3 linked regions of the Macaca fascicularis genome follow. The protein of the gene in region 1 purifies or fractionates together with the protein of each later gene. This does not show direct contact. Links are inferred from orthologs where the notes say so. Each region holds a gene or a part of one and is shown on either strand. Other genes may lie near its edges. The genes, in order: GOLGA7, ZDHHC5 and CLDND1.

Evidence for each region.
Region 2: the proteins of GOLGA7 (region 1) and ZDHHC5 purify together in Homo sapiens (co-immunoprecipitation; 3 studies listed by BioGRID and IntAct, with this or other methods). This does not show direct contact. The link is inferred for Macaca fascicularis from reciprocal best matches to the Homo sapiens genes GOLGA7 and ZDHHC5.
Region 3: the proteins of GOLGA7 (region 1) and CLDND1 purify together in Homo sapiens (affinity purification with mass spectrometry; 3 studies listed by BioGRID and IntAct, counting the BioPlex papers as one, with this or other methods). This does not show direct contact. The link is inferred for Macaca fascicularis from reciprocal best matches to the Homo sapiens genes GOLGA7 and CLDND1.

The regions. Positions count from the first base shown.
Region 1 is NC_088382.1:44,991,560-44,995,672, forward strand, and holds the start of GOLGA7 (golgin subfamily A member 7), read left to right. Parts: upstream 1-1,247; 5' UTR 1,248-1,304; intron 1,305-1,316; exon of another isoform or gene 1,317-1,569; 5' UTR 1,570-1,591; coding exon 1,592-1,702; intron 1,703-4,113. UniProt on the Homo sapiens protein: May be involved in protein transport from Golgi to cell surface. The ZDHHC9-GOLGA7 complex is a palmitoyltransferase specific for HRAS and NRAS.
Region 2 is NC_088388.1:15,915,567-15,919,212, reverse strand, and holds part of ZDHHC5 (palmitoyltransferase ZDHHC5), read left to right. Parts: intron 1-1,362; coding exon 1,363-1,520; intron 1,521-2,571; coding exon 2,572-2,744; intron 2,745-2,875; coding exon 2,876-2,978; intron 2,979-3,646. UniProt on the Homo sapiens protein: Palmitoyltransferase that catalyzes the addition of palmitate onto various protein substrates such as CTNND2, CD36, GSDMD, NLRP3, NOD1, NOD2, STAT3 and S1PR1 thus plays a role in various biological processes including cell adhesion, inflammation, fatty acid uptake, bacterial sensing or cardiac functions.
Region 3 is NC_088376.1:184,490,586-184,494,761, forward strand, and holds the start of CLDND1 (claudin domain-containing protein 1), read left to right. Parts: upstream 1-1,261; 5' UTR 1,262-1,331; coding exon 1,332-1,338; exon of another isoform or gene 1,339-1,646; intron 1,647-2,467; exon of another isoform or gene 2,468-2,489; coding exon 2,490-2,533; intron 2,534-2,740; coding exon 2,741-3,050; intron 3,051-4,176. UniProt on the Homo sapiens protein: Plays a role in negatively regulating the permeability of cells to small molecules.

The sequences.
Region 1 (4,113 bases):
TGGATAAACAAACTGTGGGATGGCCATAGAATTGAATAGCTATCCAGCATCAAAAAGAAATGAATTATTGATAACACAACAACAGATGGACTTCGAAATAGTCTATGTGAAAGAAGCCAGGCAAAAAAGGGGGTACACACTATATGATTCAATTTATATAAATTTCAAGGAAATGAAACTAATGTATAGTGACAGAAGGTGGATCAGTGCCTGGGAAATGGGGTCTGGGGAGAGGCAGGAGGGAGGAATTACACAGGAGCTGGAGGAACCTTTTCAGGGCAATGGAGCTTTACTATCTTGATTGTGACAATGGTTTATGGGTGTATTCATATGTCCAAAGTTATCAAATCCACTGCTTTAAATATGTGTGGTTTATTGTATGCCATTTATATCTCGAAAAAGCTGTTTTTAAAACACAATGGGAGAATTTTTCATATTTAAAAGGCAGGATATTTAAACTGTATTAAATATATAAGACATGGTACTGAAAGGTTGTATTAGCAGGAGACAAGGTAAGGTGGGGTTTCTTTGGCTGCCTTGCAAAGAGATGCTGAGTAAAGTAGGGGCCAGTGGGCAACGAGGGCAGAACTGCTTGTCTGTCCCCTTGGGTCACCTGAGGGGCATGGGTGGCGGCTGGGTGGAAATGAGGGTGAGAGGAAAGCCGCCGTCGAGGGGCGTGGATGGGAGCTGGGTGGAAACGTGGGGTGAGAGGAAAGCCGCCCCCAAAGAAGGGTCGGGAAGGGGCGGGGACGGCCAACGCTGGGGCCCACGCAGGTTCTTCGTCCTCACTTCCTGACCCTTTCTTACGAGTCTAGGGACCAAACGGATCCATCCCCAGAGCCCTTCTACTTCTGAACACGATGAGCAGTTTATGTTTGAGGGTTTGGGGATGGGGTGTTGTTTTTTCTTTATGTTTTGTTTTTCGTTTTACGTATGAGTTGGGTGGCACAACCCACACGTAAGTTGCAACGTCCAATCAAGAACGAAAATAACCCCTCACAATCAGCGATCGGGAACCAGCTGCCACAAGTGACACAGCCAGGAAACTTCGTCCCTCACACCCCCGCGCGCTCGCGCCTGCCGCAGCCCCACAGCTCGCCCCGCCTCTCTCCTTCCGGAAACAATCTCCGAGGGCGGAAGGCGGGGTCGGCCCTGGCCCCGCCCACAGCGTTTCCCTTCCTCGGCCCAGCCCCGCAGCGCGCAGCCTCGGCAGGGTGGCTTTACGGCCAGAGGAGAGGGTGGGTCCCAGACTTGAGGTAGGAGGCCGAGCTGAGGGGCGGGGAAGAGGCTTTTTGCGGCAGGACGTAAGTGACGGCGAAGGCGGTGCGACAGCAGCTGGAGGGCAGAGGAGGCGGGTTTGTTTCCCGGGCCGAACCGGGTTGTTGGGGGGCGCGGGGCCTGGGCCAGGCGGCAGCTAAGGCCCGCGGTGACAGCATGGGTGAAGGGGAGCGGGGCAGAGGAGGCCTTGGGCTGTTTTGGGCGGCGAGTGGGGGCGAGGGACTGGCGGGTCGGAGTCCCGGGTCCAGGCCGGGGCTCTGACCCGCGGTTGGTGTTCCCCCGACCCCGCAGCGCGGGGTGTCCAGTCCTCGCCATGAGGCCGCAGCAGGCGCCGGTGTCCGGAAAGGTGTTCATTCAGCGAGACTACAGCAGTGGCACACGCTGCCAGTTCCAGACCAAGTTCCCTGCGGAGCTGGAGAACCGGGTACGCAACCTGGCTCCCCACGCCTGCTCTGGCGAGGGAGAGAGACTCACCGGGGACGGGAGGGGTGTGGGCGACAACCGGGCCGTTGAGGATCCAGCAGTTCTGGGGAGGGCCAGGCACAGAAGGGGCCTTGGCCAAAGGTGTAAGAAGAGAGCCACTAAGCAAGACAGGTGTTTGGAGGAGCAAGAATAATATACGCCGATCGCCGGGGTTGACGACCTTATGGAACTTTGTTGCCCGGTGCCGGGAATCTGGATCCAGCAGTCTTCCCCTGCTGCACTCCCTCAAATCCCCACCCCGGGTAATTGTCGGCAGCGTTGAGGAGCCAATTCCTGAGGCTCCAGGCCACCTCAGCCACCAGGTTTTAAGCTATATCTTCCTACCTCTCCGCGCAAGATAAATCATCATCATTCTCATAACTGGTGTTTGCTGCCTCTGTGCTGGCCGCACTGTTTGACTGAAAGGGTTTATTAGGTGCATTGCCAGGCGGTGCATTTAGGCTTTCTTGGAACCTTAAAGACGTAGAGCGTTAGATAGGCCTGGACAGGAAAATATCTCAGAACAAGGCCTTAAACTTATCACATTCACTGGGAGCCACGTGTTTTGTCTTGCATATCAAAATTGCCATCAGGATGTAGGTCCTTTGGGTAACATTGCATGCAAAAATGTAAGAATGGAATTTGCTTCTCCTTCAGACTTAGCAAACGTTTTTTTAAAAAACCATTGTATCTTGTAGAGGTAATGGAGTATGTGCGTGCCTGCCTGTGTTTTTGTGTGCCCACATATGTACACTCAACCAAAGATTCTTTTGGTCTTGACCCATGTCATGTAGATTGTGTTTCCTGTTCAGGGATCAATTTCTGGTTAGCTGGAAGCAGGTTTTGTGGCTCCCTCCTCTGTGACAGGGAGGGCGAGGGCCTGAGAGGTGATTAGGCATTCGTTGGGTGTGGAACTGAGGGATGCTGGTCATGGGATAAGTAGGTGTGGATGAGTCTGTGTAGAGAAATGTGTAGCAGTTATTTACAGACAGTTTACAGTGAGGTGGGTTGCACTGCCTGATTGCCATGGTTGGGAAATCAACAATGATCCATTATAGTTTCCTTCAGTTTGACATAACCATGGGCAGGTTAGTGGCCCAAATATGTTTCTTGAATTGCAAATTGATCAAATATGCCTTTAAAAGATGGTGAGGTGACTTGTTTCTGAAATGCCATTTAAATGCTGCAGTATCTTGTCAACTATGTTATGAGTTAACTCAGCGTGACAGTAGGTGGAACTATCTACAGTGGTTAGAAGAGCTAGAAATTCAGCAAGTGGCCAGTTGGTTAGAGCTACTGAATGTTGTTTTAAAATAATTTAACATCACAGCTGATGTGTTTTACATGTTAAGATTTACATGGAATCAGGCTGGGCGCGGTGGCTCACGCCTGTAATCCCAGCACTCTGGGAGGCCGTGGCGGGTGCATCACTTGAGGTGGGGAATTCAAGACCAGCTTGGCCAACATGGTGAAACCCAATCTCTACTAAAAATACAAAAATTAGTCAGGTGTGGTGGCGGGCACCTGTAATCCCAGCTACTCAGGAGGCTGAAGTCGAAGAATTTCTGGAACCTGGGAGGCGGAGGTTGTAGTGAGCCGAGATCATGCCATTGTACTCCAGCCTGGGCGACAGAGCAAGACTCTGTCTCAAAAAATAAATAAAATAAAAAGATTTACATGGAATCAATCAAATGTTTTATTTTTAAGCCTCTCATGGAGATTATGACATACAATTTTATGTACTTCAAAATCAGAATATAAAGTATTCTTTTTTTACCGCCATTATTTGGACATTAAAGATTCATTTGCTTTAAGGTTTTAAAGCAACACTTACACCTCATATTTGAGCAAATGTGTGTACGCAGAATCAGACATTAGCCTTCCACTCTGTGTGTGGCAGAGCCTTTATTTTGTAACCTAAGTACAAAAGCACAATGTAGTTACAGTGCTCCACTGATTCTTCTCAGGAAATTGATGTTTCTAAATTCTGGAGTCCTTTTACCTCTTTGACTCTGTGTAGCCCAGAACTGCCTGTGGTACTGAGTACTATATGGAATGTTACATGGCACTATTCAATTGTGCCTGTGAATTTCTTTTTTCTTTTTAAATGTTTGGGTTAAAACACTAGCTTATGCTTTAAACCACTAGAAAAGCTTTGATTGTGTGTGTATGGGTCTGTGTGTGTGTGTGTGTGTGTTGAGATTAAATTTAAATTACAGGTTTAAACTTTCCTTGCTTTGATGAAAAATTGAAAGGTTTCTGTTTCTCTACTACTTACCCTAGAAATTTTACTGATTGCTCTGCTGTTGGAGCTGATTTTCTTTTTGTGAGAACATCACACTTGGCAACGTAATAGAGAAAGAGACTAATATG
Region 2 (3,646 bases), on another chromosome or scaffold:
AAATATGAAAAAATGCTATGAAAAGAAATCAGTAAAATTTGAAAACTTAATTTGTAATCCCACACTATCATTTATTTAATTTTTCCTTCCCACATTTTTTTTTTCTAGGTTAATAAAAAATAAAAATTGCTCTGGGTGCGGTGGCCCATGCCTGTAATCCTAGCACTTTGGGAGGCTGAGGCGGGTGGATTGCCTGAGCTCAGGAGTTTGAGACCAGCCTGGGGAACACGGTAAAACTCTGTCTCTACTAAAAATACAAAAAATTAGCCGCCGAGGTGGCATGCGCCTGTAATTCCAGCTATTGGGAGGCTGAGACGGAAGTATCACTTGAACCTGGGAGGGGGAGATTGCAGTGAGCCAAGATCACGTCCTTGCATTCCAGCCTGGGCAACAGAGCAAGACTCCATCTCAAAAAAACAAAACAAAAAACAAAAAAATTGCTAATTGTATATGAGAAGGCAAATAATGTCTTTTAAGTTTTGAAATGGGATGGTGGGTTTCTGATAGCTGAAAATTGAGAGAAAGGGCATTTATGCTTGTGCAACAAATAATACTGAAATATGTATATATATATAGAAAATTCATAGAGTAGGGGAAGACATTTTGGGAAGGGATTTGGTTTTTTCTTTTTTTTTTTAAGACGAAGATGAAGTCTCACTCTGTTGCCCAGGCTGGAGTGCAGTGGCGTGATCTCAGCTCACTGCAACCTCCGCCTCCCGGGTTCAAGCGATTCTCTTGCCTCAGCCTCCTGAGTAGCTGGGACTACAGGCGCACGCCACCACACCCGGCTAACTTTTGTATTTTTAGTAGAGACGAGGTTTCACCATGTTGGCCATGCTGGTTTTGAACTCCTGAGTTTAGGCAGTCCGCCCTTCTTGGCCTCCCAAAGTGCTAGGATTACAGGCATGAGCCACCACGGTTGGCTGGGCAAAGTATTTGTGCCTGGAAAAAAAGGTTGATGTTAGTTCCTCTCCTGAATTGCTATAGTTCACTCATATAAATATAGATACTGAACTCTTATGTAAACTCATTATGTATGTGCTTTGATATGTAAACTATTTGTTTAAAATATATTCATATACTTAAGCCAAATAACACCAGCAGATGCATACAAGAGCTACCTCTTGAGTCATTTTATCTTGAACCTCACTTCCCAATGCAGAATAAATTGCTTCCTCATCCGTGTTCCCATAGTGTTGTATAAAAACCTGACCTCACAGTCTTATAGTTCCTAGTCCCTAGTTTCACTCATTAGAATGTGAATTCCTCAAAGGCAGAAGCTATATTTTAAACATCATTGGATCCCTAGCACTTACTACAGTTCTGGCATAGTTGTTTTTAATTGACTTTTCCTCTCTACAGCTGAGGAGGATGAGGACAAGGAAGATGATTTCCGAGCTCCCCTTTACAAAACAGTGGAGATCAAGGGCATCCAGGTGCGCATGAAATGGTGTGCCACCTGCCGCTTCTACCGTCCCCCTCGATGTTCCCATTGCAGTGTCTGTGACAACTGTGTGGAGGTAAGCACCCTAGGTGGGGTAAGACTTCATGCTTAACCTTCACTGTCTTCATCCTAACCATATAACAGATTCTTAGCTTTGGATGTGGTATAGTCCTGTCTAACTAGGTTGGCCACATGGTCCAGCTCTGTCACATGGTGTTAGTAATGACATAACATGAGAGGCAGAGCATAAATATTATTGCAGGAGGGAAGCTTTAACTCAGTATGGGCGTAGACTTTTTTATTTACTTATACTTTTTGTAGTGATGAGGTCTCCCTGTGTTGCTTGGACTGTCTCAAATTCCTGGCTTCAAGTGATTCTCATGCCCTGGCCTCCCAGAGTGCTGGGATTACAGGCATGAGCCATTGCACCAGCAGGGTGTAGGCTTTCTTGACACCAGGATTTATAGTTCTAGCCTTCTAGCTGTTGGCTCATCTTTGGTTATTTATCCTGGCTTTGAGTTTTCTCTTCCAGAAAATCATGCCGTTGCGTTTCAATTTGTTGTAGTTCTTTTCCTGCCTGTCCTTCTGTATCCCTTGTCCTTTTTCCATTCCATTTTCACTTAGCTGTAAGCAGTTACCTGCCAAATTCTCCATCTAATCCTCTTTTCTCATGAATCTTGATGTTTTTGCAAAGCCGCTGACATTCGTCACTTTTAGAGTTCCTTGGTCACATGGGATAAACTTTGAGAACTGGCCTTGGCCTTTTCATTTTTTTTTTTGGAAGTGGGGTCTTGCTATGTTGCCCAGTATAGTGGCTATTCACAGGCAGTCATCATAGTTCACTACAGCCTTGAACTCCTGGGCTCAAGCCCCAGCCTCCCCAGTAGCTGGGACTACAAGTGTGCGCCACTATGCCTGGTTTGGCCTTGGCCTTTGACCAACCTCTGGAGGGTCTCCCTTGCAGATTTATAGAGCAAAATAAACTGGATTTAATTTTGGACTAATTGATGACCATGATCATAAATTACTAAAACCAAAACTTAGCTGCCATTTGTTTCTTTTCTTGACAGAAGTAATTTAATGCTATGGTCCAGGGATGCCTCTCATCTGTCTCTTTTTGTCCCTAGGAATTTGATCATCACTGCCCCTGGGTGAACAACTGTATTGGTCGCCGGAACTACCGTTATTTCTTCCTCTTCCTCCTTTCCCTGACAGCCCACATTATGGGTGTGTTTGGCTTTGGCCTCCTTTATGTCCTCTACCACATAGAGGAACTCTCAGGGGTCCGCACGGCTGTCACGTATCCTTCAAGGCCTTTTAGGTTGTGGGATTGGAAGGGGGAGGAATGAGGGCTGAAGGGAAAATGGCTGCAGTAGGAGCTGGGGAAAGTGAGATCATGTTGCTCTGTTCTCCTTGATTGTTTGGCATCAGAATGGCAGTAATGTGTGTGGCTGGCTTATTCTTCATCCCTGTAGCTGGCCTCACGGGATTTCACGTGGTGCTGGTGGCCAGGGGACGCACAACCAATGAACAGGTATGGAGAGAAGTGACGAGAGACCCCTGAAGAGCAGGGCATGTGTCTTTAGCCCTCTGATTAGTGTGCAGTGTAGTGCTTCCATAAAGAGATGCTTAATGAATACTTTTCATGATTATGTAGAGATTAATGGTAGGGAGTGAGGTAGTCCTAGTTCCTCATGTAAGCATAGAGGCCATTTCTCACATATACACCATGGAATACTATGCAGCCATAAAAAAGGATGAGTTCATGTCCTTTGTAGGGACATGGATGAAGCTGGAAACCATTCTGAGCAAACTGTTTCAAGGAGAGAAAACCAAACACTGCATGTTCTCACTTATAGGTGGGAATTGAACAATGAGAACACTTGGACACAGGGTGGGGAACATCACACCCTGGGGCCTGTTGTGGGGTGGGGGGGCGGGGTGGGGGAGGGATAGCATTAGGAGATGTACCTAATGTAAATGACGAGTTAATGGGTGCAGCACACCAACATGGCACAGGTATACATATGTAACAAACCTGCATGTTGTGCACATGTACCCTAGAACTTAAAGTATAATAAAAAAAAAAGAAAAGAAAAGAAACTCTCAAAGAGATACTAAGACAATAGAGATAAAGGCTGAATTTTGCCCTAAAATATCTTTTTTTTTGAGACAGAGTCTCACTCTGTTGTCCAGGCTGGT
Region 3 (4,176 bases), on another chromosome or scaffold:
ATTTGCCTGTGCCCCTCCGCCACTGACAAATTTTTTTTGACTGTATGCTGTATGTAAAAATCCAGAGTCATGTTAGAATATATTTGGCTACTAGCTTATTATGTACTGCATATGAATATCGGTTCACTCAGGTGAAAGAAATGTAACTACAGATAGAGAAACATACCATGCCTTTAATCTGTCAAAGTGGTAGAAATTTAGTATCAACTTGAAGCTCCCATCTTTCTCCTGTGCTAAATTACAAGGCATTAGGGGACGGAGTGGAGGTTTGAGAGCCCCTCTGGTCCTCGAGTCAGTTTTCTCTGTAGGTTACCGTTGAGAAATCCACCATTTGCTGGTCCCAGGCCACGTTAATAGTTCCACTCATGTTATCGTTAAGATGTACCTGCTTCCTGTCCGTGAATTTCTGTGTTAAACCTGAGGGCTCAGAAACATTGTGTCCTGTGTGCCACACATCATCTGCAATCTCCAATGCTGTCCTTGACCTTATCTACTTGAGTGATGTTCCCCAAATTTCAGTCTTTTTCCTACTATACCCACAATTTTTTATTCATTTTTTGACATATCTGGTATGCTCAGTATTATTAATATTTTTAAAATTAAATGAAAAAAATTTAAAAGGAACAACATTACTGCAATAGAAAACTAGTATCACTTGTCATAAAAAATAGGCAGCTACAAACACACATTTTATGAAACCCAAATAATGTCATTACATTCTTGATGGATACTGTCTGCCAGGTCACATACTTCTTAGCCTAAACTTATGCAGTAAAACGAAAAGGACTCTGCTCCAATGGGAGGGATTCTGGGAGAGGGAAATAAAATGGGTCAACGTTTCACAAGTAGAATCCCATTTTTGTTCATTTATACTTAAATCTAGAGGCAGGGTGGTGTGATAGGGAAAGCACAGGCCTAAAAGTCAGACCTAAGTTATACAGGTCACGGTCATTGACTAGAGGTGACCGGAAACCGGTCCGCTTTACTTTCTGGACCATTGTTCCTTCCTCCCTAAAATGCAAGAATCCAACAGCCTAGACTTCCCTTCTGCGCACCGGCTTGCCCTGAGGAGCTGAACTACATCTCCCACAATGCGCCGCGCGCGGCGCCAGGATGCCTATCGCCGCCTCAGACAGCTTTCAGTCTGTCCCTCCTACAACTCCCACAAGGCCCCTCGGTCCCGGGCCGCGGCCCGGCCCGGAGTGGGGGCGGAGGCGGAGGCGCGGGAGTTATGGAGGGGGCGGGCTCTGCAGGGAAGTGCGTCAGAGGAGGCGCGGGGAGAGTAGGGTGCTGTGGTCTGAGCTAGAGGGTGAAGCTGGCGGAGCAGGAGGATGGGCGGTGAGTGAGCGGGACCTGCGTCGCTGGGCGGGGGTCGCGTCGCGGTTCGATGTTCCCGGCGGTTTGAAGAGGGGCCCCCTTCCCGGGCGTGGTCGGGACTGGGCGGGTTCCGAGCGGCGGGTTTGTCCCTGGGCCGAGCCCTCTAGGGCGGGGCCTGGTCGGGTACTGGGGGACTCTGGATGGGGGCCGCACACGACTGCCCCGCCCCAGCCCTGGCCTTCTCCGGCCCCGCTGTGAGGCCCGGGAGGTGACCGCTCCAGGCGTCCGGCTTCGATGAACCGCCGTTCCCAGTGCTGGGACCCTTTAAGGTCATTTGAGAGCACCAGGATGAAGGGGGGATTTTTAAAAAATCAAAATGCAAATCCAACTTTTTGAGTTATCGTTGTCATTGCCCTTACCTTTCCTGAGTCAGTTCCAATTTTCCAAACTCAGCAACCCCAGTTTGCGAGTCTGTTTTCGTGCACCTTTGTAAGGTGTTTGGTGCGGTCACGGTGTATACTTGCCGTGTAGTATTTGGCTCAGCGCGATCCGCCTTGAGTCATTTTACCGCGGCCATTTACTACTGCCGTTGAGCCCTGTCCACGCCTTGGGAGTGTTGATATTTTGAGAGTTTTCTGTCTGGCTGAGGAGGGATCATTTAGTTTTTGCGGACATATGTTGCACTTAGGGTTTAGGGAGAGAGCAAGGTTTCAGTTGAGGAGGTTCAGAAGTATAAGGAATAGGGAGAGTAGATAGGAGTGAAGCATTTGGCAGCGTAAAGAAGCGTGGCTTAGCTTTAATGGATTAGGGAGAGATTGCTATCTAGCATTATTATATGTTATTGTTCTCTTTGCTATTTTATACACCTAGAACAACCTTTCCCTCGGGGTTAACAAACATCTTCAACTCTGTTTTCCGTATGGCTCCTGACTCTTACCTTTGTTTTAGGAGGCTTCCCTCTTCAGAGGAAACTGGGAGAAGCCAATTGCCACTGCTTTTTCCTGTGTCTTTTTAACACTCAAACCCAGAACACTTAATCCTCTGCAGCTCGTGCAAAAATTCAGTCTGTGATTTAAAATGTGTGCACGGTAACACTGCTGACCATGGGCATGTCTATTGTTTGTATCTGTAATGTGTATGTCCATTTCAGTGTTGTCTGTTTTAGTATGCAGGTGATAGACTAGAGAACAAGACCTCTGTCTCCGTAGCATCCTGGGTATGTGAGCATTCAATAAGTACTTTTATGAGAATGAGTTTTGTTTTAAGCTTAATTAAAAACATGCTTGCTTTCTAAAAAAAAAATTCTTAATGGTTATATGTACGAAGGGATGGGGAATTGGGTAAAGGGTGCATTTGGAATAATTCAAAATAGTTTTTCTTATTTGTCCTTTAAGACTTTCTTCTTTCTTCAACTTTTAAACAGAGCAGTCTGAATGCCAGAATGGATAACCGTTTTGCTACAGCATTTGTAATTGCTTGTGTGCTTAGCCTCATTTCCACCATCTACATGGCAGCCTCCATTGGCACAGACTTCTGGTATGAATATCGAAGTCCAGTTCAAGAAAATTCCAGTGATTTGAATAAAAGCATCTGGGATGAATTCATTAGTGATGAGGCAGATGAAAAGACTTACAATGATGCACTTTTTCGATACAATGGCACAGTGGGATTGTGGAGACGGTGTATCACCATACCCAAAAACATGCATTGGTATAGCCCACCAGAAAGGACAGGTATTTCTCTTATTTTAACTTCTCTCTTCTTTACCTGGTTAATAATGGACAAAATGACCTAGTGATTGCCCAGTTACATGTAAGCAGGTTTATTGGTTCTCTCTCTCCTTAAAGAAATAAATCATGTGTATCTTCTCTTTCTACTGCCTTCTCTCCCCAACCTCTTTGCATTACCATGGTACTCATCAATATTGGTTGGATGAGGAACTTTTCTTATCTTGGGAAAGCCATTAAATTTTTTTTTATTTACTCACACATTAAAACACTTTTTATTAATCTAACACATCATAAAGAAATAGTTGGAAAAGTACATCGAAAGACTTTAAAAATATTTGGTAACTAGTAAAAGGACTACCATCGAAAATCAACTCAACAAATTGTCCTTTTATGGGTTAGCTGTATTATAATACATATCTATCATTTACTCCTGTATCTTAGGGGATATAATTTGACCAGCTCTACATTTAAATCTATGTAGATGAGACTGTTTTACAGCAATCTTGATACAGAGTTTGTAGGTTACGAAATTTGTATTACAGAAGTAAAAAAAAAAAAAAACTAAGTTTTTCAGGTTTATTTTGCAGGCATTCTTATTTAACGCTTAAAGTTTTTAATTTCCACTTATTAAAATGGTAGCCTTAGAACTCTTTGTAAGGAACAACGTTAATGACTACTTCTGTTGGCCACTTAGTGGGGAAGCATTGTATTCAAATCATAGCAGAAGAGGCTTGTGTTACCATATATCAAAAGGATGATAATATGTCACTGTATCTGGAAAAAAAAGGAGGTAATTTGGAAGGAAAGGAGAGAAAGTTGGTTAAAATTCATTGTAAAATGTTCAGTTTGACTTGTGAGGGTACAGGAGCACTTGATATTGGAGTGTTACCATTTAGTCATTCATTAAACAAATAATTTATTGCATGCCTCCATGTTCCAGGGCCTCTTAGCTGGGAGAACATCAGGAAAGAGAACAAAGTCCTTACTCCTGGGGAGCTAGCATTCTAATAAAGGATGACAGGCAATGAACAGAATATAACAGTATAAACAGAATAAACAATTATTTAGTATGTTAAAAAATGACACGTGCTGTGGCAAAATAGAACACAAAAGTGATTTGGAAATATGT